Linked DNA regions of Rhinolophus ferrumequinum. The protein of the gene in region 2 purifies or fractionates together with the protein of the main gene of each other region. This does not show direct contact. Links are inferred from orthologs where the notes say so. Each region holds a gene or a part of one and is shown on either strand. Other genes may lie near its edges. The genes, in order: PHLPP1 and WDR48.

Region 1 (16,609 bases), on a different chromosome or scaffold from region 2:
TTAATGGCAGCAGGTATAGGAAAAGATTCATTCTCTAAATGCTCTTCATCAGATGTATGAGTCATTAGAAATAGCAACAAATGCAAAATTCTTCCTGTTTGAAAAGAATGGAGGAAAAAAACTAAAAAGAAAAATCAACTAATTCAAATTACTTCAAATTTCTATAATTAGATTTTTCACTCATTATTGAAACGGTGCAAAACCAAATTACAGTTGACACTTCCTTTAACAACACAAGTTTGAACTGTGTGGGTTCACTTATACACAGATTTTTTCCAATAAAAATACAGTACATATTTCAAATTTTATTTAGTCTTCAACTAAATGCTTCCACATAACTGGAAACGAGGCTAATTTACTTTTACAAGCTTCATTGGAAAAGTATATGACAAAAATTTTGAATCTGTCTGTTTTTTGTTAAACTATTGACATGTACAAACTCATAAAATATATACAATCTACAAATAATTTCCCCTGTTTCCAATAGAACTTCTAGGTTCCAAACTCAGAGGCCACTGGACTTGTACCTCAACAGCACACTTCACCATTAAATACATTTGACAATGTATTAAAGCAATCTCAAATGTAAAAATGCAACAGGGAAACAATTATGTCAGCATGAATGTGGTATTACGCATGGGATGATTATGCCTTGTTTCATTTAACATACTAAAAGGTATACCAGGATATGTATTTTATACTTATATAATATATAAACAAAACCATTCCACCTCTAAATCAAAGTGTAATAACACTTCAGTAATCCAGTAATTGTTATGCTTGATTCTAAAGTACATCACACAACTTGAAAGAGCTGTTATTTCATAGTTAACCCAAATCCTAAATGTTCTTTAATAAAAGTATCATTAAAGTCTGTTCTTTCCAGATCCTTGAGTTTCAATTTATTCAAATTTTCCAAAGCATAGAGTTGAAGTTTCATACAAATCCAAACACAACCAGTCACACAGACTGAGGTTATAAGTATCTTATTTGTCTAAAGAATCCACAGGGTCGATTTTGGGGTTTTGTTTTAATTATACTATCTTTAGAAAACCAAAGGTAAGTATAAAAAGGGTTTGCCCTAGAAGCACAGGAACATGAGGCCAGATTCAAACCCCTCATTACCACTGTTGTACCAGATGTCTGGGATTAAAGGAGTGGAGGTTTTAGAAGGTGGGAGTTTTAAAAAAGGCTTCATTTTCCCAGACTGTTCTGGACATTTTGATAACAATTTCTCTCTTTTTCAAAATGTCAGGAGTCTTTAAAGGAAAAGCTTTTCTATTGAGTGGCTTCAGGATCTCTCGATTTTCACAGCACAACAATTAAACCCTTCTCCTGTCCAGATAGACCGAACTGTGTTCAACCCTGGCACATAAAATCATTGAATCTAAGATGCCTCATTTGACAGATGCCTCATTAAATTCATCTCAAAGTTGAGATAAGAAATGCCTTTGAAAAGGGAGGGGGTGACACATGTTAACTCTAAGAAAACTTTGAGAACTGCTCTCTCAAAATCTACATGCAGCTTCACTCACGTGAAATAAAGTTATTAATAGTACTATGCGGCACATCTGAAATCTGCTGCCATGGGAGAAATGCCTCTGTGCATGTGTGTTTAATACTTCTCTGGGGACCCAAACAGCATGGGAGGCTAAAGAATCAGGGCACATACCACCAGCTGCTTAACAAAATTCCACAAATTCAATTCAACAAATGTTTAAACTAAAATGCCAAGTATTATGCTAGGCTTGGATCATATACAACGTCAATGAATGTTATGTTACCAATAAATCAAATTCAGGGTTCCAAAAAGAGAGTAAGAAACATCAAAAACACTGTACACTTTAAAAATAATAATCTTTGGATAACCAATCATTGGTTTAACTTTCTTATAGCAACAAAAAGATAAAACTTTCAACACAGAAACTTTACAAACTCATTTATACACATCTCCTCTCCTCACAATTATTTCAATGAGCACAAAAGACACACCATTTTAAGAATAACTATGAAATTCAGGGAGAATAGCTGACTCTAGTTCTATATAACATATGAATTATAAAAACTACACAACTGCAGAGTAACACCAAAAAAGCAGTATTGATCACTAAAGTACAAATAATTCTATTTTAAAATAAAAGGTTTAAGCAAAACTTTCAATACTTTACAAGTACAGCTATGTCTTAAAGAAACTGAATCGTCACACCACCACCCTCAAAAGTTATCCACTTTTTAGATGAAGTGTTAATTCTCTATACCCAATAAAGATTTATAGTTTAACAAATGAGGCGTGCTTGAATAAGAAAATAAAGAATCATTAGGTAAACTTTATTTCAGATCAACTTAACAAGTATGACTATTTGCAACCAGGATATTTAGAACACTTTAGTACTCCTTCTGTACTATTTATTTGCCAGTCTTGGTTTTTTACGTTTTTAAAGGCAGCATGATAAAAATAGAAACATCCACATTTCACAATGAATACCACTTTGGACTAGAGGATACTATCACCTCATTACCAACAAAAATAGCGTATTTGCTGAATGCTTTTAACCAAGTGAAAATTCAAGTGTAAATGAAATTCAGCACCAATTCATGGAAAGTGATAAGAATTGAAAAACTGAATATCCAAGTTCTCTATTCTCAACTCCGTCAAGGACTGAAAAACCACAAGCAAGAGTCAAACCTTTCTATGCATCAGTTTCTCCTTCTGAAAAAAGGAATGACAGACTCCTCCCTAACCATGTTTTTGAAAGGACAAGTGAGATAATTTATGTGAAAACCCTTTAAGATTTTTGAAGAAAATAAACCCCAACATATTAACAGATGTTATCAAACCACAGTTATGAAGGAAAAGACAGCATGCATTTTACATAAAAAACAACAAATATAAAATTTAAATATAAAAAGCAACAAAAATAAAGTTAAACCTTTTGTTCTTAAAATCAGAAGGACTGTTCAGGCACACACTGGTGTCACATGTTCATACCACGTTATTCAATACTGCTGTAATTATAGTAATAAGAGCCGGCTCGTCAATATTACAGCTTAATGCTGAACCACCCCTTCTTGGTTTCCATGTAGGAAACCATGTAAGGTTTGATCATTCCCAGAAGGGAAAAAGAGAGGAAATATGAGAGGGGTAAGGAGATCATTCTGAGCAATCCCAATAAGTCACACATAAAAACATCTTGTCCAAGATTCACTAGGCACAATGGGTGTGCTCTCCATTCTGTCATCATGCTTTCCACACTACTAAAATTTGAACTGAAATACCTGGACTACTAAATCTAAAAGGTGGCAGGAAGTCAACAATATAAAAAAATAGAGCTTAATACTGCACTTGATCAATGACAAAACACAAGCTCATTAATGTTTTGAAGTCCATACCTTATGTCAATTAACCTAAATTCTTGAACTTTTTTAACCTAAAACTACTCTAAGGTAAAATGTAAGATGGCTGATTTTAAAAGGACATCCGATGCTAATGTACGTACTATACTTAAGGAACGTCAGGAAAAACCATTTAAATTTTTTCATCTCTTCAATCACCTAAAAGAATTATTGTTTGATAGGCGCAATAACAATTTTCAAACCAAATTTTGATTCGCATCATTGTAATTAGTACTTTTTGTCCAACACCTGCTAGTGCATTAAGGACTTTCCTTTCACTTTCCCCAAATAAATATATTTAAGTATTCAAAGCAACCACAAATGGCTTTCAAAGCCTTTTAAGAATAATTTGAGTCAGGTAATCAACAGCAAACTTTAATTGAAAGGTGACCCTCAAGAGAATGAAAGTTCTCGGCTAAACACCAACTTCTCAAAAAAACACAGCTGACTAGACAAACTACATAGACATCCGATAACAAGTTCAAGTTAAATACAGGAAGGTATTCAAAAGGCAGCTTCCTAATCTATCCTTAATTCCAAGCACATGTATAAACAAAAAGATATGCAGCAATAAATTTAAGAGTAAGTTACATGTAAAATGATAAAAACATATGTGGTATACAAAAGGGTGTCATCTAAAACAAACATTAATTCTCTTCTTCCTCAGGAAAATCATTACTACCAAAATGTAACACTTTCCAGTTGGGTGTCCTACATTCCATTGCAGTACACGGATAATTTCTAGGAAATCTACTCCAGCTTGGTGCAAACTTCCACTACATGTGAAGTCCTGACAATGGTTCCATAGTAAGTGACACAACCTTATAGCAAGGCCTTTTTGTTCATCAATAACTAAACTTCCTGGGAAAGTTCTTTTTCCCTCAATTTTGTTCTATAGCAAATGAATATCAACAAAGAGACATTTGATATTAACCTATTCATACAGGCTTAAAACAAGCTCAACTTTGTATAAAAAAACAAAATAAGCAATCAGACATCTTTATAATAATCAGGCATCTTCCTTCTAGGACACCTACCTGTACCCTGCCTTCATCTTCGAGAACAGGTTGGATACTGTGTGTGGCTTCATATTAAGTATTTTTATGAGCATATACACAGAGGCATGTAAATATTTATGTTGTGTATACAGAAATAAAGCAAGTAAGTTCAGAATGAAGTAACAATTACTGCTATTCATAAAAAACAAAAAAAAGATTAAAATGACCACACCAGAAATTTAAGATTTAACCAGAAAGATACTTTGCCACTTTTATATTGAGATGTTAAAAACTGTATATCATTCACTTAGAATATTTTAGATACACTTGAAGAGACAATCAAGGGGAATCAAAGATTTAAATTTCATGACCATGACACCCAAAACTTTCCTATTAGCATTTATCATGATAAACATATCTAGTGGTGAGGAAAACAGGGGATACAGAGCTCTTTCCATATAAAATATGTCCAATACTGTTAAATGTGTGTGTATATATATATATATATATATACATATATATATATATATATACACATTTCCTTCCATGAATTAAGTCTGGTTATGAGGGTATTTATCACTTCAATGTTAACAAAATATTCCCATTCCATGTGTGATTATCATTTAATGCTTTTGTAATTTTACAAATTAGATGAGCTGTAGGAGAAAAGGATAGAGTTGTTGCTCCTACATAAAAAACAAAATCACCTATTTCCTAGACCATAAACTTTTAAAGGCATGTCATCCAGTTGGGATACCATCTTCAAATGAAACTGCAAATGCTATTGTATTATGATATGGTTTTCTTTATAAGGCAAAACTCCATCAGAAATCCACCTGAATTACAGAAAAACTTCAGTGAAATTCAGAGGAACATCTCATCAGGAATGCTATTTATTTGTCTTGCATATTTCAATGTGGGAGTAAAGATTTCTTCATTCAAACTGACTACACTGCCACTAGGACATAAGTTGGACCAAGAACATACTAAATAGAAAGAATGGGTACAGATTAATTACAAGTGTGATTATTTTTCCACTATCACCTACAACCTAGAATAGTAAAGTTGGGGAAGATACAACTCTGATTTATTTTGTTATGCTACCTTTATAAAATTCCTTATAACTAATAACATAATTCTTGAAACCAGAGGGAGAAAGGATGTAACCAACTTATAAAGCTCAAATATAACAACCAGAATCTATAGCTCCCTAATTATGCACCAGCCAAATCTCTCATCCAAGAGAACATTATTCACCCCAGTCAAGAATTTGATCTGTCAATTGTATCTCAAAAAAATCTGGAATAAAGAATAGAATTTTTTAAAAAATTTTAATCTAGAACTGAAAAAGAACGAGGACTTTAGATCACATTTCAAGAGATAGCACTTAAAGTCTTACTGTGATTCCCCATTGTAAATCACACTACAATGGTCAGTTCTGGCTATAAAGACTGAACGTGAGAAACAAAATAGGCAAAATCACTTTTGATGCAAGAATCAAACTTGGAGAGGAAATTGTAATAAAGCAAAAAAGCGCTGGGAAAAAGTTATCTAAAAAGGATCCTATCTGTTAGGTCTCTAACGAGGGGTAAGTGGGCAAATAAGCATGACAAAGAGAGCTGAACGTGCACCAATTTGACAAGTAAGGAGCTGGGGGGGGGGCAGTATTAGGGTTAGGAGGGCAGTCAAGTGTAGGGAGAGTGTTCTAGAGCGTTTTTGTTAGCCATTTTCCTCTATCGGTATTAAGTACACGTGATAGTTTACCTGAAATCCCCAACTGCCCTGAGGGAGGCCTGAGGGCAGCAGGTTCATTGTTGAAGGTACTACTGCCTCTTGAATACCTGCTTCCTGTACTTCCCGGGGGTTCTACCAACCCCTCCCAACCTCTGAGTTGCTTCCCAACCTGAGTCCCTCAAGACTGACCAAACGATCGGCACGAATAATTGCTCAGTTGAGTATTACACAGATCACCCGTGAAAACTGTAAAGTCACAAACACTGCCTAGGACCTGCGACTATTCTGGGGTCGGGCCAACAGACCGCCCACCTGACTCCCACCTCTGAACATGATGAGTTGACACTTTTCACCCCCCCTCCCCGGCCAAGTCCAGGTGATTTCCTTACCTGCGTAGAAGCGGATAAGGCAGCCAATCTCTGAGTCCATGCCTTCCTCCTGCACCCTCCATAACTCCCCAAAGCCCAGCTGGAAGAGGTAGTCATTTTGAATCTGCAAAGGCTTCTCGTCCGCCTCCAGGCGCCGGGTGGTCTCTCCGTGGAGCTGCACGTACAAGGTGGGCGGCGGAGGCGCCTTCTCCGCGGTCGCCGGGTTCCCACCCGGGGGGAGCTGGGGGCGGCCAGGGGCCGCGGCTGCTGCCTCCTTTTCCTCCCGAGGCCAATCGCGGGCAGCCCCGTCCGGGCCGTCGACGAGCCTCTGGGCTTTTGGCTGCGGCAGAGGCGGGGAGGCCGTCGGGGAAGGCGGCCGGGCGCCTGCTCCGGCCCGGGGCTGCACTGAGCGGCCGGGCAGGCGGGGCTGGCCCGGAACTCCCGGCGCGGCTGGATCGGCCTCGAGCTCCTCGGACGACGACGAAGAGCCACCGCCGCTGCTATAGGGGTCCAGCCGGTCCGACACGCTCTCGACGCTGGGGCTCAGGCTGAAGCTCTCGGTATCCGAAGCCCGGCCCGCGGCCGCGCTGTCCAGGGGCCGCGCGGCGCCTGGCTCACCCGGGCTGGAGTCCGAGGGCGCGGGGCTGGCGCGGGAGGAGCCGAGCGCCCACCCGCCGGGGTCACCGGGCAGCGGCAGGTCGGCAGGAGGCGCGCGCGGCGGGGCCCCGACGGCGGCCAGCGCGCTGTTCCGGGGGGGCGGCCGCAGGTCCCGCGGCTCGCCGGGTGCGAGCCGGGGGCCGGCATCGGGGGGCCCCTTGCCCAGCACCTTCACCACGCCGCCGCCTTTGTGGCCCACCTGCAGCAGGCGGGCGGCCACCTCGCCGGCCGTGGTGTCCAGTGTGCAGAGCACCGGGCGCAGGTAGGTCGAGGCCATGTGGCGATCGAAGACGTGCAGGCAGCCGCGCTGGAGCTGGTGCCTCACCCAGTCCCGGTCCGACGGCTGCAGCTGCAGCATCTGCCGGTGCTTCAGGAGCAGCGTCTTCCTGTCCAGGCTCCGGGTGCACAGCGACGCCGAGGCCGAGCAGGAGGCGGAGAGGCCGGCGCTGCCGGGGGAGTGCGAGGCGGCAGCGGCCGAGGACGACGACGACGACGAGGAGGACGACGACGACGAGGCGGCAGCAGTTGAGGACAGATTCCTCTTCAGCCTCCCTCTCCTCAGCAGGAGGGAGTTGGCGCCGCTGCCGGCCCCGGACACCGGGGCAGCCCCGCCGGCGGTGGGCTGGGGCGCGCCGCGCCTCCTCCTGCGACCGGTGCCTCCCACTCTGCCCGGCAGCGGCCCCGGCTGCGCCTCGCGGGGGGCCTCTTCCCGCGCCCCGGTGCTCGGGGCCGCCGGGGTCAGCGCGGGCTCTGGGCTCCGGCCGTCCCCGGCCGCCGCCGCCGCCAGAGCTGCCGCGGCCGCCGCTGCCGCCGCCGCCGCTGCCGCCGCCGCTGCCGCTGCGGCCGCCGCCGGAGCCGGAGCTCGGTCCTCCCTGCTGGTTTCTGGGAGTCGCTGCGCCGTAGACGCGGCGGCGGGCTCCATTGCAGTGGGGCTCCGAGCTTCCCCCCCAGCTCCGGAGGCAGCGGGCAGAGAGGGAGGCGGTGAGGCGAAGGTGGGAGACGGCGGCGGTGGCGCGGGGAGAAGGGAGAAGCCAATGGCGTTCGGCGCGGCCGTTCCAGGGGATTATGTGGCAATTCGGAGCATTCCGTCGGTGTCTCGGTGTTCCATCCCGCGCGCCCGCCTCGCCGCCACCGCCCCCCCTCTCAACACGCCCTCCCCGCCCGGGTCGAGGGCTCCCGCGCACAGGCCCCGCCCGCTCCCACACCTCACGCCAGCGAACCAGCCGCGAGGCTGGGCTCATTGAATATTAATCACGCGCCGGGAGCGGGAAGGCGGGAGGCGGACAGGGCGGGAGCTCCACGTGAGCCTTATGAATATGCATTGCTAGCATGACGGCATTCCTGGGAGGAGTGGGGAGAGCTGGAGGTCGGAGGGGAGGCGGGGCTTCAGAGTAAACAAACTGACGCGTGCGTACGAGGGCGGGGCGGGGGAGCCGTTTCCCCCGAGGTTCCAGCGCGGGCCTCACAGAAGGGGAGGCCGACAAAAGAGGCGTGCGGTGCACTCTGGGAGTTGTAGTGCTAGTGCGGAGACGGTCATGCTCAAGGGAAACAGGGCGAACTACAAGCCCCAGAGATCCTTACGTTGTGCCCCTCCTTGCATCCAGCACCTGGCAGTGGACAGTGCGTATTGTGCCCTCTACTGTTGAACACTGTGCCGGGAATGTTCTTGTTGATTAACTTGTACCCAACTCTCCCACTCCCGCTTCCCATAAGAGTTTCGTTTTCCCTACTAATTGAAATTAAGGACTTTGAGGGACTCAAAATGGCACAAAAATCCCCGGTTCGTGACCCTCACCTCCACCCGTTGTATGGGATACAAATACCCACAGCACCACTGGATAACTGGCAATCAAAGTAAGCCAATTTCACTTTTTCCCTACTTTTTCAAGGTCAAGGGAGACTGGAAGTGTCTGGAAATACTAACTTGGACAATTGCTGAATGTGCTTGGTGGAAGTCGTGCAACCCGGAGCTGATCTTCTTCCATGCCTATATCTAAAAAGGAAAAGGGCAAAGGGCAGGGCTCTCATTTTTTTCCCATTGATCTTAAAGTTTGGAGTAACTTAATGACACAGAAAGCACTGGAAAGTAATAGCAACGTTGGAAAGGAGACATTAGTGGGATACGAGATGGGCTGTTCCTGTGTGTTCCCTCCTATGTCATCCCTTGTTGTTTCTTTCAACATTCAGAAAAAAAGTTCTACTGTTACAATGTTTAGTTGTGTTTTGAAAAGTTGCACTTTCTTGTCAGTTAAAACAATACTGTAGACTAGAGTAGGGTAGCTTACTATTTAAAAGAATTTAGTAAACCTTTTTAATTGAGTTACCGTTCCCCCATATTGTTTTATAAATCTGGATTTTCACATGTGAGACTTTTTCAACCGTATACTATCCAGGGCCTGCCTTAACTTCAGTGAAATTCCTAAACTTTGGTGGGGGAAGGAGAAAGAGAAATCAACTGGAACTTGCAGCTGACATAACAAAAATTAAGGGCAAGGAAAGTTGTACTTAGGTTATCTACACAGTTTTGCTGAAGAGGGATTAAGGAAGCTACCAGGACAAAAATAAATACATATCTCGCTTGATTCTTGAAATTCCTGAGAATGATTTTCTGTATTTTTCTTTTGAAGTCTTACCTCTTGGCCTCATGAAACTAATTTTATTCCGTTTCAATTCAATCAACAGTTTTATTTTTTAAATTAGGGAGAATGCAAATTCTCCTAAGAGAGATAAGACAGTCAAGTCAATTAACTTAACAAATAATTATAAACATATTGTATACCAGTCACCACTGTGTTACAGCAATTGAATGAATCAGACACTGTCCCTGCCGTTTTCTGGATTTTTCTTTTTTTTTTTTTTTTTAAGGATGAAAGCATGAGCTCAAGATCAAGGTAGCCCAGGGGGAAAATTAGGGAACTAGTACATACCATACAACTCTTTCAAAGAATTTTGCTGTACAAGAGGGAGCTGTGAGTTGAGGAAGGGTTTTAATTCAATATGGAGGAAAGTATACTATGTTGAAAGCTGATAAAAATGATATAATTAGGTAGAAAAACTGATGATACAGGATGAGAAAGGAGAATAAAAAATATCTTCAATAAGTGAAAGGAGATGGGATTTAGTGCTTAAGTAGAGGGATTAGAATGCTGGAGCACAGATAGGTTATCCAACAAAGACAGGAAAGGAAGAATATATGAACACTGGTGCTAGAACGTAGGTAAGTGTAGTGGAGACAATTTTTGAAACGTCTCTTCTGATTCTATCTTCTGTTAAGTAGGAAGCATGGTCAACAGCTGTGAGCAAGGATTGTGGAGGAAGTGCTGAAGGTTTGAAGAGATAGGAGGAAATGTGAGATAGTCCCCTAGGAGAGAATAATCAGAGAAACTAAAAGGATAAGTAATCAGCCTAGATACAAGAAATAGTGAGCAAATTTACTGGTAAACATGTAGATAAATCTAAATATTATCTGTATAAAAATTTTTAACGCTCAGTTTGTAGAGTTGAAAAAAAAAGACAGAAATAAAATGCTGGACAATAACTGCTTAAACATAAGGAGGAAGTAACTGAAGTTAAAATGTTCTAGGGCCCTCTTACCACTGGGAGGTTCAGCTATTAATGTTACATTTTGTTAAGTACACAAGTAAAATTTTGAGAGTAACCACTAAAAGAAAAGAACGAAAGTGCCAACTTCCAAACTAATAAAGGAGATAAAACAAAATAAGAAGAAACAAATACTACTGTATTTCCCCCAAAATAAGACTGGGTCTTATATTAATTTTTGCTCCAAAAGATGCATTAGGGTGTATTTTCAGGGGATGTCTTATTTTTTTCATGTACAGCAATCTACATTTATTCAAATACAGTCATGTCATCTTCTTCTGGAACATCATCATAACGTACTAAATGCATCCGTCTAGTTGACAGTCTTAACTGGGGCTTATTTTCGGGGTAGATCTTGTTTTCAGGGAAACACGGTACTCCTGAAACTAATGTAAAATAATACTGGGAAAAAAAAGAACAAGCAAATACTCAACCCCCAAAGAAAGGGCACAAAGAGAGGGGGAAAAAAGCATAGAAATAACAGTAGCAATGGAAACTGGAGGAGATAAATAAGACCAGCTGTCAATAATCACCACAAACATAAGTGGACTAAACTTGCCAGTTAGAGTTAAAAGACAGAAATGGTCAAGTTTTTGTTAAAAAAGAAACAAACAAAAATGAACTTTATGTTTACAAGAGCACCTAAAACAGAAGGACTTAACAAAAGCTGAAAATAAAATGATTGAAAAAATATATACCATGTCCTTGCCTTTGTATACAGCTTACAGATTAGAAAGAAAGAGTCAACAAGTGAGAGGGATGTAGGGAAGGGGAAAGACCAGGTGCCGGGGGAAGAGACAAAAATAAAGCAAGGGGAACTGACCTAGTCTAGGAAGTCAGACAATAGAGACCTACCTTTGGATGAAATCATCTGGAACAACTGAAACTGAATACTTGCTGAAGGATCAGTCTTCAAAAGAAAGCAAGGAGGCAGAGAAAGAGATAATGACGTTGAAGTTCAATTTCAACTGCACTAATCTATATGGTGTCTTGAGTAGTCCCTAACACAATTAGTTCTAGAAATGAAACGAATGGTATTTTAATTTAGCCTCCCTTTAATAAGATCGAAAAACAAAGAGCATGTTAAATTTCAGTACAAAAACTCTTTACATTCCTTAGTTCCTTAGTTAATTTCCTACAAACCCATTTAATTTTCGATCTATTAAGAAATGTGTATTGGGCAGCCGGTTGGCTCAGTTGGTTAGAGCACAATGCTCATAATACCAAGGTCGCTGGTTCGATTCCCACATGGGCCAGTGAGCTGCGCCTTCCACAGCTAGAGTGAAAACAATGACTTGACCTGGAGCTGGTGGGTCCTGGAAAAACACACTGTTCGCCAATATTGCCTCATATAAATTAAAAAAAAAAATCTGTATTACCTCCCATATACCTGCTTTCTAGAGTTATATTTCTTTAGCTAATATAACTAAAGGCAAGTTTGTTTTAATCATAAATACTGTCACCATTGGCCCAATGTCCATTTGCATACTCTCTAAGAAATTATAGTGCTGTACTTAATCTAGCTCTGGTTCTTGTCATTTAGCTTTACACACAATCACCAGGACTCTGCCTTTTTATCCTCTAGGAATTTTGTTTACTCTTTGAAGGTATTTATAACCAAAACACCTCCTCCAAGAGGAAAATTTTTTAAAGAAAAAGCATTGCTCAGAAAATTTAGTACCCAAAGTATTGGGGAGAGAACGAGGGGATGGGACTTCATCATACATACCTGCCAGACTTGGTATGAGGGATTATTAAATTGGGAGGAGGAGGGGAATAATGAATAATGTTAAAGTATTTCAACATGAAGACAAAGGAAATACATTCCAGCCTCAAAGAAAGAGTGAGTTGGGGGCATGGGGCAGGGGAAAGAATGTAGAATATAATTTCTACATAAAGAAACTATTTCATACATAGTATTCATAACCTTAAAGACACCATATTCCATTGTACTCAGAATAATGAAAATAGGAGTTGAGAAGAAAGCAGAAAAGCAAAAATCTACAATATGATCCATTCCTTGTTCCACCTCCAAACCTTTCATAAAGTTACTCAACGTGGGGATGAAAGGGGAGAGAGAAAATGAGAGTTCGTAAAGAATAGGCAGTGCCCTTAACACCACATCAACTGGAACCTTGTAGTTGAAATAACAGACATTGATAAGGGCAATGAAACTTGTGCTTAGAGCTTACTAGTATCATGAAACATCATCCAGACCATCTGAGCCAACCTACACTACACAATCTTTTTGAATAAGAAAAGGATTTCAGGACAGGCCAAGTGTTTTTCAGACACCCGTGAAATAGCTTCTCCTACTTAAAAGTAGAGTGAGTATCCTGAAACCACCGTGACTCCTAGAGGCTTCCCCCCCACACCCTTTAAAGTGTTTCACATGTACAATACCACATTTTTCTGACTAGCCACACTTTTCAAAGAAACACATCTTAAAATGCTAAAAGATAATCCTGACAAGAAACAACAGATGTAAAAGTTGCAAACCCTGATGCCAACTTGTTAAAATATTTTCACAGCTAAGTGGAGAAAAAGAGAACATAATTTTCAATTTACTGCCACAGTTTATTTTACGCTGTGTGATTTATAACTGACTTGCTGTGTTGTGCATCTAGGTTAATCCTGTTTGCATCCTTAGATCCAAGATAAAAGAAACTATCTTTGGAATTTTTTTCCTAATATGAGCAGTTGGAATTTTAATGGAGGCAAGACTTGATAGCTGGGATGCTTTCAGTCTGAATTATTAAGGTCTCAGCTGTGTCCAGAAATAAATGCAGAAAGATGCAATATACAATGTAATACATTTAGTTAGTACATTATGAACAAGGAATCTAATTATAGTTTCACATTTTTATATCCCTTGAGCTACTAGTGGTTTACCATGCCTAAATTGCTCACTATTTACTCATTCTTTTTTACTAGGAAGAACCCATTTAGCAAATTACTGCTCTAGTGAACTAAATGAGCCCCAGGTGGCCACACAATTCCTATGTTCCCTGCTCACTGGCAGGATGAGACTTTCTGGGTTCTCTAAAGCCTTACCCCTCCCTCACAAGAACTCTATCAAGAATTTAGATCGCCACTATCACTTTAGGTAGCCCACTTCATCAATACCGCTTGACAGCTTCTCAGATTGTAGTGTACCCTTTTTAATCCCGTAATCCTTTGTCTTTCTCTTGTTTCTCACATCCTGCCTCGTAGAAATAGACGTGTTATATGTCACAAACAGTGTAGTATTAGACCAACAAATAAAGACCATGTAATTCCACCACTTCTGGTAACAATATAAATTACTTGAGACTCATTCAACAAGTATTCATTGAACTGTTATGTGTAGGCACCATTTACCCCCAGAAAATAGAATAGACAAAAATACCTGTCCTGGGGAAGCTTATGTATAGGCATTGTCATTTTTTAAATATCTTCAGTTAAAATTGACCTTCTCTCTTATTTTGTATAGACGTCTCACCTTAGACAAATGGGATATATGAAAATCTAGATATATAAATTATGTATTAGAGTATTAATATTTCTTCCCAAACTATTCTTTATTCTTTCTCTTACATATGAGTTCATTATACAATTGCTTTAAATACTGGGCTCCTATAATATTAATACATTTATAATACATTAATTAAAAAAATCATTTATACCTCACTTTTCAGAAACCCATTTTTGGTTCTAACAAGTGCCTAACACCTCTTTCTATCGAGATTCATATCTAACAAAAATCTTTCCTACATCATCTCAAAGCATTTCCCCTGAATCTTCCATGACTAAAAGTAGAAATATAGCCTCCAGATAATGATCCCCTATATTTATAGTCATTAATTTATACCCTGAAGAAGCAGTGTAGGTCCTTTCTTTCTTTTTTTTTTTTTGCCCCAAATGGAGAGATTACAGGAGACACAGCCAATCCCTAGAAGTTTTGCCCTTTCCCCTTTTACTCCCTCTACACCCACTGGTCTGAACTCTTAGATACACTGTATTACTTAGGGCATCTGTAACAAAGTACTGTGAACTGGGTGGCTCAAAACAACAGAAGTGTATTCTCTCACAGTTCTGGAGGCTAAAAATACAAAATCAAGGTGTTGGCAGGGCCATGCTCCCTCTGAAGGCTGGGGGCGGGGGCAGGGTGGGCGTGGAGGCAGGGGTGGCAAGGGATGAGTGGAGATGGACACTTTCTTACCTCTTCCAGCTTCTGGTAGCTGACAGCATTCCTTGTCTTGGAGCTTTATCACTCCAATCTCTACCTTCTGGTATCTGTCCTCACATGGCCTTCTCCCTGTGTCTCTGTGACCAAATACCCCTCTTATAAGGATACCAGTCATTGGAAGAGGGCCCACTCTAATCCAGTATGACCTCATCTTAACTCGATTGCATCTGCAAAGACCTTATTTCCAAATAAGGTCACATTCTGAGGTTCCAGGTGGATGTGAATTTTGGGAGGACACTCTAGTATAATAGGTGTTTCGCATCGCTCCTCAGGAGTGACAATCTGAAATTTATCAGACTTCTACATTTCAGGGATTAACAAAATTCTCTCCCCATTCCCCCCGCCCCCAAAAAATTGGTGACTAAACTAGGTTTATTAACATTTTACTCATCCATTTCAATATTTATTCTGTTCTATGTCAGTCACTACGCTAGGAACTGAGTATATGAGAGTGAATAAAACAGTTGTAAGCACTGCCCTCAAAAATATTTTTAAACTATAAATACCATAAAAATACTATTAAAGAAAGTACATTTTAACACAAAAAAGTAGGAAAGACAGATCTTAGCATAAACGGTAGTCCCTTTAAATTGAACAAAGTTAACTTTATAACTTTATGAAAAACTCCTTTCCTTGTCCTTTTTCTTTTCTCATGTTACCACAGATCAAGAAAAATACCAAACCAGTACCAGGTCTCAGACTGATATTTGGGAATTACAGGACTAGAGCTTTTGCTGTCTCTAGCGCTCTTCCATTCTATAGCCAGAAATCAATGGTGATGGTCAATACAGAGCTGTGACTTTCAAAAATTTAACAAGTTACAACCACCTATTGCCATATGGATCATAATATTACCAAAAATGACCACTGCATCAATACCATAGAATATGTGTAATCTTACCTTACCTCTGTGATAAAAATGGGATGAAATCAAGCAAAGGGGCTCAGGCTTAGGTGGGTATATTAATAAGTTGGTTTAAAGATGATGACAATGGCAGAATAACATTCTCAGTCTTCTACACATTCCCTAGTTTGAAAGGTGGCTCTTTGTACTATTTCGGGGGAGTTGAATCCTACACAAGGTTGGAAGCCAGAAGTCCTCACTGTATAATAGTCCTGGTGCTGTACTAACTAGTGAAGTATGACCTTGGGAAGACATTTGACCTCCAGGAGGCTTCAGTTACTGATTTATGAAATGAAGGGGTTGAACTAGATAGTGTCCCTAAAATCTCTTCCAGCTCAGAAGATATTTCATGAAAATGGAAACAACAACAAAAATCTGGGGTAGCAATACTCATACCAGACAAAATAGACTTTAAAACAAAGGCTATAACAAGAGACAATGAAGGACCAAGTAATTCCATTTCTATATATTTTTCCAAAGAAATCCAAAACTCTAATTTGAAAAGACATGTCCATATGTTCATTGCAGCATTATTTACAATAGCCAAGATATGGAAGCAATCTACATGTCCATCAATGGATGAATGGATAAAGAAGAGGTGGTACATATATACAATGGAATATTACTCAGCCATAAAAAAGAACGAAATCTTGCATCTGCAGCAACATGGATGGACCTAAGGGTATCATGCTGAGGGGATTAAGTCAGACAGAAAGAGACAAATGCC
Region 2 (16,591 bases):
CTTTCATCTCAGATTCCCAACTTTTCGTTCCTTTCTCCAGTGTCAGCCACAAACACCAATTTCTTTTATCTCCACTGAGGAATAGTCAAGGTGGATGTGAACATATATATATATAGATATACACATGTACATATACTTGGATGTCCTATTTTTATGTATCATTGGGAGCCCCGTATTTTACACTCTGTTAGATTCCTTGCATTTATCACTTAAATTTTGTACAGAAAATTGCTCCAATGGAACACTGCACTGTAGCACACCCTATATCATTACCGATTCTTTTTCTAGGAGAGTTATTTTATAATCTTGTAAATTATAGATTGATAGCAATGCAAAATAATTCCTATCTATTTACATGCAAATCAATTGTAAGGTAGAAAAACCAGTCTTGCCCCCATTTGCACATTCGTTTCACCATTCCTTTACCCCACGTGAATTTGTGCTTCTTTGATTTCTCCTTTGAACCAGTTATGACTTTAATATGTGTCCATTTTGTATCTACAGATATAAAGTAAAAAAAACTTTACTTTTTCCCCCCATAATTATCCTTTAGAGTGTTTAGCAAACAGGTTGAGCATACAATTCATTGGATGTGAGGAAAAAACCCAACTTCATTTTTGTCTCGCATTCTCCTGTGTGAATAACTGTCTGGATGTATCAATCACTTGTTTGATCTGTCCCAGTCATTGGCTTCAGCAATGCTTCAATAAATATTCTTTTACGTGTGTTTTTAAGTTAAATGCGATTACGCTTTTAGGATGGATTTCTAAAAGAGGAACTGCTAAATCACTCTCCAAAGAGATTACACCAATTTACCCACCCACTAAGAGTGTATATAATGATGGGTTTTCCACAGTGTCGGAATACTGTACATTATCAAACTTTTAGATCTTTTCCAATCTGGTAGGTGAAAAATGGAAGCTTATTTAAATATGCATTTCCTTCACTACGAATGAGATCAAGCACATTTTCAGACAATATAAGCCATTAATTTTCTTTTCCTGTAAACTGCTTCGTTATGTCCATTGTCCATTGTTTTCCTATTGTGTATTTCTCATTTGGTATTTTTTATATTAACTTGTAAGCTCCCCTCCTATATTAAGGAAATTGGCCCTTTGTCATGTGTGTTGCAAATATATTTTCCCATAGTACGGCTAGGGCAACTATGAAGAAATGGTGCGAAGCAAGCATAGCACAACTCGGTAGTTTCAGAATATAACTGTGTTTAGACAGGCTGCATCTCTCACATCTCCTCCTGCCCTCCAGATGGGACTGACTTGTTACCTTTTCATTCACAGCAGCTCAGCACTGAAGATCTAACTGGAGTGCAAGAAAAAGGGTGCATTGAAGAGTCACCATGGAAACTGCCCCTCCCACAGCATTTACCATTCAAAGGCTTCTGCAGGCATTCATGTACAACAAATTAGCAAAGAAAGATTTCTAGACACACAACCCTAATTTGAATGCAGTTTGAAGGTGCTTAGAGGCATAAAGAATGCCTGTGGTTTCTGTAGGCAGATTACTAGGAAAAGAATTATCTTCAGCTCCAGCTTCTGTGGAGGATAATTGGTTGAGACATTAGAGCATATTTTGTTTTTGCTGCAATTTTCCTTCCTTCCTCACCTTCTGCTGGTGGTTGCCGGTCCACAGTGCTTGCTGATCTCAGGAGTGGTTTATAGTACTGGGCCTTACGCAGAAGCTGCTTAATAAATACCTCTGATCTTGCCTTTAGTGAGAGGCCAAGCTCACTGAAGTTGAGCTATGAATCTGGGTGGGAAAAGGTGTGCAAAAGACAGATCCATTGTTTTTGGAGGGCAGAGAAGAAGGCAGTGAAAGCAGGAGGAGGTTCTGCAAAGAGTAAAGACCTGTGACTATTGTTGAAAGCATTCAGATTGGTGACAGAACCTGGGCAACAATGGCAGATGATCGTAGGGAAGTGGGGCCCTAGACACTGGGATTTCCAGCTGTAACCAAAAAGCCCAGTCCCAAAGGAAGAAAAGACCAGAGGCCTGGCCACTTTCAAAGGACACTGGGTATCTCTGCCCTAACCACTGTGGCCTCAGAACTGTTGGTGCTTCCAGTAGGTACATGACCCCTTAGGGAGGACTAGGGTGGCCAGGGGAGTCTTAATAATGACTGGAGTTGCCTTTTCAACCATTGTGGCTGGCTAAGAGCTCAACATTATAATTAATTTTAACAATCTACTATGACACCTTTACATATCAGAGTTTATGGAATAAGATTCACACCCACTTCACTTTTCTGAATGAGTATTTTAGGAAGCCTCAGTCAGCTCAGCTCTTGTACAGAAATCCCACCACAAAAAAAGTACTACATGTATGATGTAGCTTTCATATTTTTCCCCACTTAGTAAACGCTTACAAATGCATACATTTTCCTTTATTTTCTTTTATTTTCACAATAAATTATGGCTTTTTATGGGAGCAAATAGGTTTCCTGAAAAGGCACTTTGATTATGACATTTTATCAGCAGGAAATAAGTATGAAGCATCTTAAGATCTGACTTGTCACATTTGAGTCAGAAAGGCTCCCAATCAGGGATGGGCTGAATGGTTCTCTACTGCCCCCCAGTGTATAAGCTACACAGAGGCGGACACATTTTTGGAATGGAAAAGGGACTGACTGGTGTGTATTTCTCATACTTGCACGTAAGAAAAAAATAGAAAGCCATAAAAACAACTAACGGCTATTCCCCCGCCCCCAGTGTGTTCAGAAATAAGTGCCCTGTTGAATGATGATTCGTTTAGTACCATGCCTTTTAAGACTGTATTTAAACCTGAGGATTTGCTGACAAGGCATAAAATAGCACATAAACACTTCGGACATAAACACTTTAAGCACTGTGAGTCTCTGTATTTATTACTTATGTCATCTTGCTTTACTAATGCATACTTATTTAATTATAGTCTTGTAGCCTATTCTATAACACCCTTCTTAGTAAAGAATCATTAAAGTAATAAGGAAATAATATAGCTTCTCCATTTCTCCGCATGAATCTGATTGATATCATGACAGGCTTGCATGAAAAAGTTTATTTAGCACTCTGCATTACCTCCAAGAAGCTTAAAATACTCTTCTTTTCAAAATTCATCTTTAAAATATCCAAATTAATGCATGAAGTATCAGCAGATAATAGTAGCTGCAAACCAAGGCTCTACATGGTTTTGTGTTTGTAAACACATTTTTAGAGCATTAATTCCTCTTGAACAATGAAAACAAAACAAAAAAACCAAAACATTCATGTGTCCCCCTGGTAATGACAATTCTGGGCTATGGTGCAAAGACACACCTGGTTACCTTCACTTTGTTCAGTAAATGGAGTGATCATCATGAGCCAGAAAACGTGTGTTTAAGCATGAGGACGATCTGTAAAAAGGCCTTCTCATTTCACAAATCTTTTTCCAGGCTGTTGAGAAGAAGAGAGGAGGCAAGAATAAAAGATTAAAATGTCAAGCTGATTTGGAAAATCTTTACAAGTAAGAGACCCCATAGTACATAAAACTTATGAGACAATCTACCTTAGGAAGTTACAATGTTTTGGCAATGCTGTTACAACACTTGGGCAATGTTTCCCCAGCAAGGTGATGATTAAAAATAATACCTAAAATACAGTGAAGATTTCCTACATGCCAGGTACTGTGCTAAGGTTATTTCATTTACCTTCATAAGAACTAGAGGAGATAGGTACCGTTGTTATTCCACTTTACAGATACAGAAACTGAAGTTAATGACTTGCTCAAATAACTGGCAGAGGGAAGGACCAACCTCCAGAGCAAGACTAAACAAGAACAAATTTGGTTTATTTGGAACTAGAAGCCTTCTAGGACTCTTATTTACTTATTGTATGAATTCTTTTCAGGATGCGAAAGTTTTCATGGTGTCTAGGGCTTTAATCAGAGGTCTCAAAATCTGAGAACAATATATTAATAATAGATGTCAGGCCTGCTGACATTTTGAGTAGAGATGCCAATCTTCCATTGTAGGAAATGCTAAGGAATTGATGAAGGAATTCTGCCAGGATAAGCCTCGTGGCAGTTACACAGAAAAGACAGTTAAATGAAGATTATCTTTGTAGAATTGTGAAGCTGCTGTGACATTTCCCGTCCTCGTGGGGAAGGGAGGATGTATTAGTTATCTACTGCAGTATAACGAATTTCCCATAACCAGGACCCTTAAAACAACAAACATTTATTATCTCACACAGTTCCCATAGATCAGGAATTTGGGAGAAGTTCTGCTGAATGGTGCTGGCACAGAGTTTCTCATAAAGTTACAGTCAAGATGCCATTTTATTAATCAAGCTAAAGTCACATCCACACACTCTTGCTGTAAGAAGTCTAAAAAAAAAGTGAGTAACTGTCTTTCTCACTTTAAGTAAGCAGTACTCACCATCACCGAAACACACATCGTGGGGAATTCCTCAAACTCAGAAAGAGAACTCAGATGGTGGGCAGCAGAAAATAAAACCACAAAAATCTCAAATGCAGTCATCCCTTTGGCTGCCCAACACCAATATACCCACTGCTTTCAATGCTTATCCATCAAGAGTTGTCACTTAAAATACTGCAACTATCCTTCAAACAATCAAAGATGTATTCACTCTGTCACCCTCCAAGGGAGTCAACCCAGTGTTTCATCAATTACCCCATTCATCCATCCACTTCTAAGTCCAAAACGTCTAGTTGATATCCATTTCTCTGCAACTTACGGACTAAATAATGAAATTTACAAGGAATAGCACACCCTACAGACAATAGTGAAATAAAGGGTTAAAAAAAGTTAAAACCCATAAAAGTATACATGATACATCAATAAAAGAAATACCAATAAAGATGACAGCTCTCATTTCTTCCCCTGATCATGAGGACTTCACTTTCATTTATGATTTCCTTTCTCCACCAGCCACTCTGTGTTCCTTTATCTTCAACCAATACCTTCGTTTCTAAGGGATCTGAGTGTTTGATGGACCTGTCTGCTTATACCAGCAAACCTATTTCTGCTTGATACTCAGGGTTAATCACTTCCACCAATACCATGTCCTTCTTCTCTTGCCTATCCAGTGACATAAGACAGGCAACATAGTTAGATAGCAGTTTCATCTCCAAATCAATGGAAATGTTCAGGCTTTGTTGGAAGAATTCCTTTCTTTGGTAACAAACCTCTAAACCAGCAAAGCCCAGAATTTCAAAGAATAGCAGTTAAAAACATTTTAAGTTGGAGTCATTAGGTATATTCCTTTGTTCCTAAATCCATTCATTTTGCCTATGGAAGTGTGGTAGTTTTAAAAACATATCCACAAATTCTTTGACACTTTTCCCATTTAAGAAAATGGAATCTCCTTAGATATAACCAGCCTTAGCGATTAAGCCTTAATGAACTAAATGTGGTTTAAAGTGACACTGCAGGATTTCCACTGCTACTTTAGAAAAAGCATTAATTACAGTTTCCACCCGAATTTCTCTCCGTGGGGAGGCTCGCCCTTGGAACCCATGCACTACTGTGTAAATAACCAAACAGCACAGTGGAAAACCCATGAGTAGATGTTCTGGCCATAAATTCAGCATCGGTCACCAGACATACGAAGGAGTGGGCCTTTAGATGGTCCCAGCCCCCCAATTTTAGCTGCCCCAACTGAATCAAGTGGAAAGTGGAACATAGACAAGCTGTCCCCTAATTGGTGAGCCCTGCACCAATTAGATTTGTAAGCAAAGTAGATGTTGTAGTTGTTTTAAACCGGTAAGTTTTGCGTGGTGATGCAGCAATAGATAAGCACAGGGAGAAAGCGTGCCAAACACTGGACACTGGTTCAAAGCATATACTGCATCCTGTAAGACAGCATCAAAAAGGGTTATCTCCCAGAAGGCACCATAACTAAGTCTTCAATTAAGACCAGGTGCTTCTTGGTGATAGAATACACAATTAGACCAATGAATTCTACAAGCAATAGCCCACAGAGTTGCTTTCATTACAGAGTGAGTTTGTTGATCAGAAGCAATATGGTGTGAAACACAGTAACAGTATATGACACATCCCCTAAGTCCCCGATGGTGGTGCTGACAGAAGCACAGCAAGCGGGGAAAGGAAATCTAAGTCTAGAGTAAGTGTATTTCAGAGGCCAAATAACTACCCCCTCCACGATCGGGAAGGGCCAATGGAATCGACTTGCCTCCAAGTGGTTGGCTGATCCTCCCGGAGCTTGGGGTATATCACCAACTCAGGACTGGCCACTGTTGCTGGCAAGCTGAACACTCAGCAGTGGCTTGGTGATGCCACGCATAGCTCCAATCCTGCTATTATTGCCATTTCATTCATGATTGCACTGAGCCTGGATAAGGAGGCTGAGTTTCATCTAAGAGCAGTTCATGTCATCTGTTCAATAAATTCTTAATTCTTAAGATGTATTCTGCAAGGTCGAGGATATCCCTTCCTGAGTCTTTCCTGTCACTAGTCCTCCAATCTTTCTCTTTCCATGTCCTGAACCAACTGGCCAAACAATTAGGCTTGGACCATTAATTATTACCCAAGGCCATCTCTCCTTCAGGTAAAGTGAACTTCAAGACATACTGCTAGATATTCTGCCCACTGAAAAGACCACAACTTCAATGCTCTTCAGGTGCAAAGTGGGACCACAACAACCTAAGCATCCATTTCTGGCAGGTACCAGCATATTGTGCAGGGCAACATGCCTGCCTGGTGCCTGGTACATCATGGGTGTGCAATGGATATGTGTTGAATTATTGTTTCTAATGCAGATCAAATGCTTCTCCTGCTTAAATCCTTTCAACAGGTTCCCATTGATCTAAAAGACCCAGCTGTGTGTGGTCTCTGCATACTCCTTCCCCTTCTCTGTACTCTAGGCTTGGTCCTCAATTCCTGGAATGTTCCAAGCTCCCTCCTGCCACAAATCTTTGCTCAGACTGTTCCTTTTCATTGTCTAGTTAACTCCATCCTCAGATCTTTTCTTTTTTTTTTTTAAAGATTTTATTGGGGAAGGGGAACAGGACTTTATTGGGGAACAGTGTGTTTTTCCCAGGACCCATCAGCTCCAAGTCAAGTTGTCCTTTCTTAGTTGTGGAGGGCGCAGCTCAGCTCCAAGTCCAGTTGCGGTTGTTCAATCTTAGTTGCAGGGGGCGCAGCCCACCACCATCCCTTGCAGGAGTGGAACCGGCAACCTTGAGGTTGAGAGGACGCGCTCCAACCAACTGAGCCATCCAGCTGCCTGGGAGCTCCGTGGCAGCTCAGCGGCAGCTCGTTGTTGTCTTCATTCTAGTTGCGGAGGGCACAGCTTGTTGGCCCATGTGGGAATCGAACTGGCAACCCTGATGCCCAGAGCTCACGCTCTAACCAACTGAGCCACCCGTCTGCCCCGATTCTCAGATTTTGACTCAAGAATCGTTTCCTATCTTATAAATGTCTTTCTTCACTGTATTTATCTCCATATTCATTTATATGCATAATCAAGTTATGTCTTACCCTGGAACTCTAAGTTCTATGGTTATATACAGTCACTACTGATCCCCAGCACCTAATATAGTACCTAGTACTTAACAAGTGCTAAATAATATTTGTCAAATAAATTAATACACGAAAAATGAATGTATCTGTAATAAAATGCAGTATGGGTCATTTATCTACAAGTTATCACCGCCAGTTTTGCTTAAGAAGCTTTATGCCTCCAGTTTCTACGACTCTTAATTCATATTTCTTTATTAATTTAGAAAGGCATTTGTCTAGACAAGAACTTTCCTAAGCATTATTTCTTTATTAGCACTATGCAAAAAAAGTGACTATATATGTAACTTTAAATATACTAAGAGCCACATTATAAAACACAAAAATATAATTTTAATATTTTAACCTAATATAGCCAAAACATTATTTCAAGATGTAATCAAGCTGAAAATTATTCAGGTATTTTACATTCTTTTCTTTGTACTAAGTCTTTGAAATTAGGTGGTCATTTTAGTTTCATCACATCTCAATTTGAACTAGCATATATGTCAAGTGCTCAAGAGCCACACATGAAACAGTGCAGTTCTATAGGGTTCCCTTTCACAAGGGAGTCTGACAAAAAAAAAAAAACAAAAAAAAAAAAAACAAAAAACAAAAAAAAACAAGGGAGTCTGACTATCCTCAGCACCAATAATTAGTGTCAGGAAAACTTCAAGTCAAACCTTCACCCAGAAGGGCTAATTGCCCTAGTATAAGATTCTAGAGTGAGCACAACTCCTTCAGGATCTGCAACTTAGAAAGTTGTCTCTGAGAACAATTTTAACCAGTGTTAAAGGATGTTGCCTTCCTAACGTCCTTTTATTTCTTATTTAAATACATACTTTGATGCTCCTTGAAGATGGGGGCCGCCTCCTTTCCAAACACTTCTATTTCTCCGAGACCAGTTTATAATTTTCTGCATTTTGGGATATGTCATGGAAAACCTGTCAGTTCCCTTGGCTGCCTAGGGAAGTTGGGGGTGTGGGAAATCCGTGCCAGCCGCCCGTGTCCAGCATTATTAAATCTTTCAGCGCTTCCCTTAAGCCTGCTTGGGCCTCTGGAATTGGCATCCCAGACAGAGAACAGTGCAAGCCAGGGTTGAGGGGCACACAGAGTTGGATTCGGATTGCTCCCTCGGCTCAAAACTGGCTCTGCCAGCATTACACGCACGCAACCATTTTTCGGTGCTCCTCCCTCACCCCAGGGCCACCGGCCATAGCCACACACTGCAGTCGGGCAGCCCCCGACCAGCACGCCCTCCGCCTACCCACCTGCCCTTGGCCTAAGAGGAAGAGGCGGGACATCCGCCCGGACCTAGCTGCTTCCAGAAGTGACGTCGGAGTGTCAACATGCAAGATGGCGGCCCATCACCGGCAGAACACGGCGGGGCGGAGGAAAGTGCAGGTATGGGAGCCCGGCTCCTCGCCCTCGCGGACGTGGCTGGCAGCTCCGGGCCCACCTCCAGCGAGCAGACGGCGCGGGCCGCGGTGGGCCGGGGTGGCGGCTGGGGGCGAGTGGGACGGGGCGCGGCCGGCGGCGAGGGGTGGGGCCGCGGCGCTAACGGCTGGACGAAGGGGCCGGGGGCTCCGGGCTGGGCCCGCAGCGGGCCCCGCGAGTGCTCGCTTCGGAGCTTGCGGCTGCCGGTCGCCCGCTTTCTCGTGGGCTTGGGCCGGCGGGGAGAGGATTGGCTCGTTCCCCGCCCACCTGCCTTCCCCTGCCCTGCCCTTCCCTCCCCTCCCCCGGAGCGCTCAGCCCCAGCCGCGTCGGAGCGGAGGCCTCCGAGCGCGTTCCCCGTGGGCAGGCGGCGAAGGAGACCGTGGGCCTGTGCGGGGGCGTGGCGGGCGGCGGAGTGCGGACCGCCCTGCGGGTTTTCTGCGGGGATTCTGCATAAAAAACGTCCCCTGCCTTTTTTTTTATGCGGGCGCTTTCCCCGTGGTGTGGTGGAAACGACGTGACAGTGTGCCAGCGTTAGTGGGGAGAATATCATTTTTGTTTCGGAATTTCATTTCGCCTTCCCCATTTCTTCATCTTCGATGTGCATCCATGATTCTTCTTTCCTATTTCTGTAGTTTATTATCCAAGGGTAAAAGGTTATCTAACCCTTCCGTGGGTGCTTTATGCCTTCGTGAATCCGCTTTTGTTTTGGGTACTTTTAAGAGTACCTATTATTTTAAGCGATGCAAAGAGTGAGTAGAAGCCCTGTATTACAGGTGTTTGCCTGCAGGTATATGGTACTACGTACCTTATACCTTATTTAGTAAACATTACTAAGCACTTCGTTTGGTCCCAAAAATGTGCAAAGAATTGACAGTATAGGAATAAGTAGCCACCAGGCTTTCTTTATAAAAACAGCATTATATGGGGTCTGACAATTAAGTTCACAAATTTGTTGCAAAGATGTTGCTAACCTTTTTTGGTGTCAAAAGGATTATTCATTATGAATTTGTACCAACTGGACAAACAGTTAACCGAGGTTACTATTTGGAAGTGCTGACAAGGCTTGCGTGTAAAAGACGGCTTGAACTTTTTGCCAATAATTCATGGCTTTTGCATCATGTCAACGCATCCACCAGCTCACACTGCACTATCTGTGAGGGAGTTTTTAGCCAGTAAACAAATAACTGTACTGCACCGTCCTCCCTATTCACCTGATCTGGCCCCCAATGACTTCTTTCTTTACCCGAAGATAAAGGAAATATTGAAAGGAAGACATTTTGATGACATTCAGGAACTCAAGGGTAATACGATGACAGCTCTGATGGCCATTCCAGAAAAAGAGTTTCAAAATTGCTCTGAAGGGTGGACTAGGCACTTGGCATTGGTGCATAGCTTCCCAGGGGGAGTACTTCAAAGGTAACCATAGTTCAGCAGTGAGCTGAACTTTCTCTAGGATGCCCTTTTTCTAGGATGAGTTCGCGAACTTAATTGTCAGACGTCATATATATGTAGTTCTACAAGTTGAAATCTGAGTGTTTAATACCATGTTTTCCCGAAAATGAGACCTAGCCGGACAATCAGCTCTAATGTGTCTTTTGGAGCAAAAATTAATATAAGACCAGATCTTATGTAATAATATAGTATAACATATGATACCGGGTGTTATATTAATTTTTGCTCCAAAAGACGCTTTAGAGCTGATTGTCCAGCGAGGTGTTATTTTTGGGGAAACAGGGTAGGACAAAGGCTTTCTTCAGTAAGATACCACAGCAAATTGCTATAAGCCGTAGTCTTCTGGGCAGTTCACTTCTTTGTTTTATTGATTTCTTTGGTAAGTACAGTGTCCTGAGCATTCAGTAGATGCTTGCTGAATTGAGTGAAATTAATAAAAATCTACAATACCTTACCCTGTTAGGTGACTTTTAAGTGCATCAGTGACAGGATTTAAGTAACCCCAGCATGCAGGCCAGGTAGTGAGAATGTCTGCTCCTGACTAAAGTGTAACTCAAAATTGTAATTTAATTGTATTCTAGATACCAGAGCGATACACTTCTTAGGGTAGTAAGGAGAGTTAATTACAAGAAAGTTAATCAGTTTCTTGTATTTAGACTTAAAAGAATATAAAAGTATAGGACAGGGAAAATGTAAGTTAACTGCAGTGTGTGTGGAAAAACTGAGTGTTTTAATAAGCTGAATGTGAGCCATGGCATGTAGAATGAGGGAGATGATAATTCCACGATTCACTGGTCAGAGCACAAAACTAGAGTTTGAGGTTAACACTTATCACTTTGTCCTAATAAAGTATAGCAGTCGATTGCCAAAGTCGCTTGAAGCCACTTCCTATGAAGAACATTCAGAAGAACTAAGACTAGCCTGCAGAAGAGAAGGTTCGGTAACTCTTTTTAGCTGCTTTCAGAATTTGTCCCCAGGGTCTAGAAACCAATGTGAGAAGCCACAGAGATTGATTTTATCTCAACATGAGGGAGAACTTTTGTTGATGGAAGTGTTTTTTAAACTAGTGCATGTTCATTGCAAACAAGCCACAAATAACGCCCATCAATAGACAATTGGATACAGAGGATGTGGCACGTGGCATGTACCGGGGTGCCAAAAAAATGTATACACATGACTTGTATTCATCTTTTATAATCAGTATATATTGAGTATTACAATTTTAATACAGTATTTTCCTTTCTTAAAATGTGTATACTTTTTTTGGCACCTTCTGTATATATAATGGAATATTACTCAGCCATAAAAAAGAATGAAATCTGCCCATCTGCAATAACATGGATGGACCCAGAGGGTATTATGCTAAGTGAAATAAGTCAGAGAAAGACAAATACCATATGATCTCACTTATATGTGGAATCTAAAGAATAGAGTGAACGAACAAACAAAACAGAAACAGACTCATATGCCTAGGTAGAGAACAAACTGAGGGTTGCCAGATGGGAGGGGGGCTGGGGTGACTGGGTGAAAAAGGTGAAGGCATTAAGAAGTACAAATTAGTAGTTACAAAATAGTCATGGAGATGTAAAGTACAGTACAGGGAGTATAGTCAGTAATATTGTAATAACTGTACATCCAGGTGGGTGCTAGACTAATCGGGGGGAATCACTTTGTAAATTATATAAATGTCTAATTACTATGCTGTACACCTGAAACTAATATAAAATAATATTGAATGTCAACTGTAATTGAAAAGTAAAATAAAATTTAATTAAAAAGCAAGATATTAAGACAATACAACGTTTAAAAAAAAACCCCACAAACAATACAAAACTGTAAATGATAATTGTCCTCCACTCTTCAAAAAAAGCTACTGTGGACAGTGTGATATATAATCCTAAACCAGGGTTTGTCACCCTGGGCACTGTTGACATCTCGGGCCAGATCATTCTTCATTGGGGTGGGATAGGGATTGTTTTGCATCATCCTGGCTTCTACCCTCTAGCTGTTAGCATCTTCCCAGTTGTGACAGCCAAAAATGACTAGACGTTTTCAAATGTCCCTGGAGGGCAAAATTGACGCTGGTTGAAAACCAGTGTTCTATAACTCTTTGTGCATATGTACCCAACTTGCGTGATTTTTTACTCTAAATAAAGTCATAGTACTCATTTTGTGTTTTGGTGCTTGTCAAAATTTTAAATGTATATTATTACCTTTGACCCAGCTAGTCCCCATTTAAAAATTGTTTTACAAAAGTACACGTGTATATATCTTTCTCTAGTTATGCAAGGGTGCTTGTAGGAATGCGTCATTGTGAAAAAACAAAAATCTATCCATCAGTAGTCAATTGGCAGATCAGTTAGGCATGTTCATGTAGTGGACTAATTTGCAGTTGTTACAAAGACAAGCTACATCTGTATTATTTAGAAGGAAAAGTGTCCAGAAGTCAAAACAACAAGTCAACGTAGCATAGTCCCATTTCCACAAAGGAAATAATGCATTTAAAAAGTCTGGAAGGATATTAACAGTTATTATCTCTGGGGTATTAGATTATGTGATTATGGGTAAGACAGGAAATGGGATATCTTTAACATATATGAACCTTTATATTTTTGAACTTTTTACAACATTCTTTACTCTTATAAATTAAAAAAAAAAAACCTTTCCATTTTGGAAAAGTATATGTGGCTACATAAATACGTTTTGCCTTTTGGCTGTCTGTGTCTTGTACCAAGAGGCAGTAGTCCTGTGCTCCATGACCAAATTTATAGGTCAAAAGAACCCTTGAGACATAATATTGATAAATAACCAGCGGAGAGGGATCCAAACATACTGTTTATTAATTATGGACATAATGAAGAATGAGCACATGTCCACTATCTTCAACTTCTAAGGAGACTGGAGATGAGTTTGAGGGGGAGGGAAGGGTTTGTGATCGTCAGATTATACGATCAGACAATCCAATTTGTGAATTCCGATGTATGATACAACAATTTTCCTGGTAATCAAGATACCAAAGCAAGTCTTTTCACTCAATGCTGGTTCTTTAGTGTTACTATTTTCCAGCAACCTGAATCTGTTGGTTGGCTCTCTGTCTCCATCTTTCCTTCAACTGTGTCTTCTCTTGTTTACTTCAGAATTCTTGGGGTGATATTGGACAAAAGTCACCAGTATTTCTGGTTTAGGAGCAACAGCCATGCCCTAGTACTCAGTGGTGGTTCAAGAATATAAATACTTGGCCTTTTGTAACAGAAGGATTCTTTGGTTGGAAAAGAACCAAAATCCAGCTTACCCAGGCTCACATAATAAAACACTGTATTAGTTAATGTAAATAAACTGTAGAGGTAGTGCTAGTGTCATGCAAAGTTTGAATCAGAGGGCCCACTAAGAAGTGCTTTCAAGTCAGTTTTATGTTGGGCTGCCTACAAGGTGTCCTCTCCTATTCCCAAGCTTCCAGCTCCAGGTCTTCCCTCTGGGTGGCACGGTGGCTGCACCTACCCCAGATCTCGAGTCCTTTCACAGCGCTGCCCAATGTAACAGAGGGTCTTTTATGCAGCCCTGTGGTGGGATTTGCTTGCCTTAAGCAAATGTTGGGAGCAGAAGTGAGGAATGGAGAGGCAGCCAACAAATGTCTGTTCTACCAGTACTTCCCTCCTTACCCTGCCAAATATTTAGTTATTCTAGACCTATTCAGAACTCAGTGTGTTCCTTACTCCTGATTCTGAGTCCTGATTCTGGGTGGGTTGGTTCGTTGGTTGGTTGGTTAAATCTTTGATACTGTTTTTAAGGACGTAGAATGATGCCAAATCCTGACTTCCCAAGGAAAGACCCTTACAAATTAGCCATATGTCCAAGGTGAGTTACTTTTTATTTAGGATGAGTAATTAAAAATGCGGTACCAATGCGACCTCCATTAGAACAGGGTTCAGCAAACTTTTTCTCTAAAGGGCCGAATAGTAAATATTTTAGGTTTTGCAGGCCATTGTACTGCTCATAACCACTTAACTCTGCCATTATAACAAGAAAGAAGCCGCAACAATACCTAAATGAATAGGTGTGGCTGTGTTCCCATAAAACTTTGTTTACAAAACAGGATTTGGCCCATGGACAGTTTTTTACTAACCCCTGGAGGAGATTTTACTAAGCCCTTACTAGAAGTCAGGCTAGGTGTCCTATTTTTATTTGCAAGACTGCTTTTCAGAATACTTTTTAAAATTAACACTCTAGAAATAGAGGTTCTCACAGAAAGTCTTGGTCCACAAGATTAAGCAGGAAAAACAGATGTGAGAATTATTGATATTTGGACAATTTTTCTGGGCTTGATTTAGCTTGATAGCTGGAAGTAGCCTTACACAAAAGAGCTGTGTGATTGCTTTTATAGGATGTTACAGAACAGGCAAAAACTAATCTTTGGTGAAAACAGTCAGATCTAGATTGCCTAGGAGTGGAGTGTAGGCGTCGGGAAGAGGATGAGGCAACTTTCTCGAGTGGTGATAATGATGATGCTCGGTGTATCTTGGTCAGGGTTGGTTTGTGTTACGCTGGTACATTCGTTTGTCAGAAGGATCTATGTACACTTCGATTTGTACATTTCACTCTGTAAATTTTACCTTTACTAATGAGCCATAATAAATAATGAACTCTAGTTAATGCTATCCATACCGAAGTATTTAAGGGGATGTGTTATTAGTGATAATGTAACTTACTTTGACGGGTAGATGGATATGAGATAAAGCAAATACAGAAAATGTTAATACTAGAATATATGTAGTAAGTATATGGGTGTTTGCTGTGTAATTCTTTCAACTTTTGTATGTGTTTTAAAATTTTCATGGTAAAATGTTGGGGAAAAAGAAGCTTTTAAAGGTTAAACAATGGTTAAGTAATGATAAGCAGCAGAAGATGGGGAAGTGAAATGTTGGTTGCAGTGGCCAGAGAAGGCCTTGCTGAGAGGCTGGCTTTTGAGTAAGGATCTGAAGGAAACAAGGAAATGAGATTAGCGTCTGGGGAAGAGCATTCCAATGAGAATGTCAGCTGCAGAAGTCCTGAGGTGGGGACGTACCCGGCCTATTTGTGGCATCTTTATGCCTTTGTGGTTGGCATGGAGTGAGTGAGGGGAAGAGGAAGCAGGAGGAGGTGAAATCAGAGAGGTGACTGCAGACTAGATCACGTTGAGCCTGCAGGTCATGGTGAGGTCTCGGGCTTTGCCCCTGGAGTGAGATGGGAAACGGTGGTGGGCTTTCACAAAGGAATATACATGACATACCCGTACGTGTGTTTTAATAAGATCACCTGGGCTTCTGTATTTAGAAGAGACTGCAAGTGAGCAAGGGCAGAGCCGCGAGACCAGTGGCTATTCAAGAAATCCAGGTGCTACATGATAGTGGCTTCCCCGGGTGGTGAGAGGTGGTTGAATTTTGAATGACAAGACTTGTTGACAAGATAGAGATGGGAGAAACTAAAGTAAGAATGGCACCAAGGTTTGGGCCTGAGCAGCTGGGAGAATGGAGTTGCCATTAACTCCATCAGTGAAGAAGACAACAGGGAAAGCGAGTTTGGAGCAGAAGCCGGGAGCTGGGCTTGGGATGTGCCATGATTAAGATGTCTGTCAGACATCCAAGAGCAGGTGAGATAATGCCCCCCTTGGGGGAGCCTGGACAGATTGCCTGAGTGGCCCCTCTGTGAGCCTGACACGCTTCTGTTCTTAAAAACACTGTGAATTTGGTACTTATTCCATAATATGTCCACATCTGTGTTCATATAAAAATTGTTTTAGTTACTGTAGTAGGTGGAATGCCTCCCCACAAACCCTAATTCCTGGACCTTGTAAACATGTTGTTACATGATGAAAAGGATTTTGCAGGTATGATTAAGGTTACAGACTTTAAAACGGGGATTATCCTGGATTATCCCAGTGGGTCCAATCTAATCATATGAGCCCTTGAAAGCAGAGAACTTTCTCCAGCTGGAGGCAGAAGTCAGAGATTTGAGGCATGACAGGGACCGCCTGTTGTAGGCGGGGGCACATAGAAAGCTTGAGAAACAATGCAGCCATCCTGTCGGAGCGAGGATGGACCCCTGGCCGATGAGCAGCAAGGAGACAGGCCCCCAGACCTACACCCTCAAGGAGCTGACTTCCACCAACCACCTGAATGAACGAGCTGGGAAGCAGACTCTCCTAGAGCCTCCA

What was found.
Region 1: the proteins of WDR48 (region 2) and PHLPP1 purify together in Homo sapiens (affinity purification with mass spectrometry; 5 studies listed by BioGRID and IntAct, with this or other methods). This does not show direct contact. The link is inferred for Rhinolophus ferrumequinum from reciprocal best matches to the Homo sapiens genes WDR48 and PHLPP1.

What each region holds. Positions count from the first base shown.
Region 1 is NC_046302.1:50,040,337-50,056,945, reverse strand, and holds the start of PHLPP1 (PH domain leucine-rich repeat-containing protein phosphatase 1), read right to left. Parts: upstream 8,409-16,609; 5' UTR 8,073-8,408; coding exon 6,515-8,072; intron 1-6,514. UniProt on the Homo sapiens protein: Protein phosphatase involved in regulation of Akt and PKC signaling.
Region 2 is NC_046300.1:13,613,149-13,629,739, reverse strand, and holds the start of WDR48 (WD repeat-containing protein 48), read left to right. Parts: upstream 1-8,846; 5' UTR 8,847-8,868; coding exon 8,869-8,916; intron 8,917-16,591. UniProt on the Homo sapiens protein: Regulator of deubiquitinating complexes, which acts as a strong activator of USP1, USP12 and USP46. Enhances the USP1-mediated deubiquitination of FANCD2; USP1 being almost inactive by itself.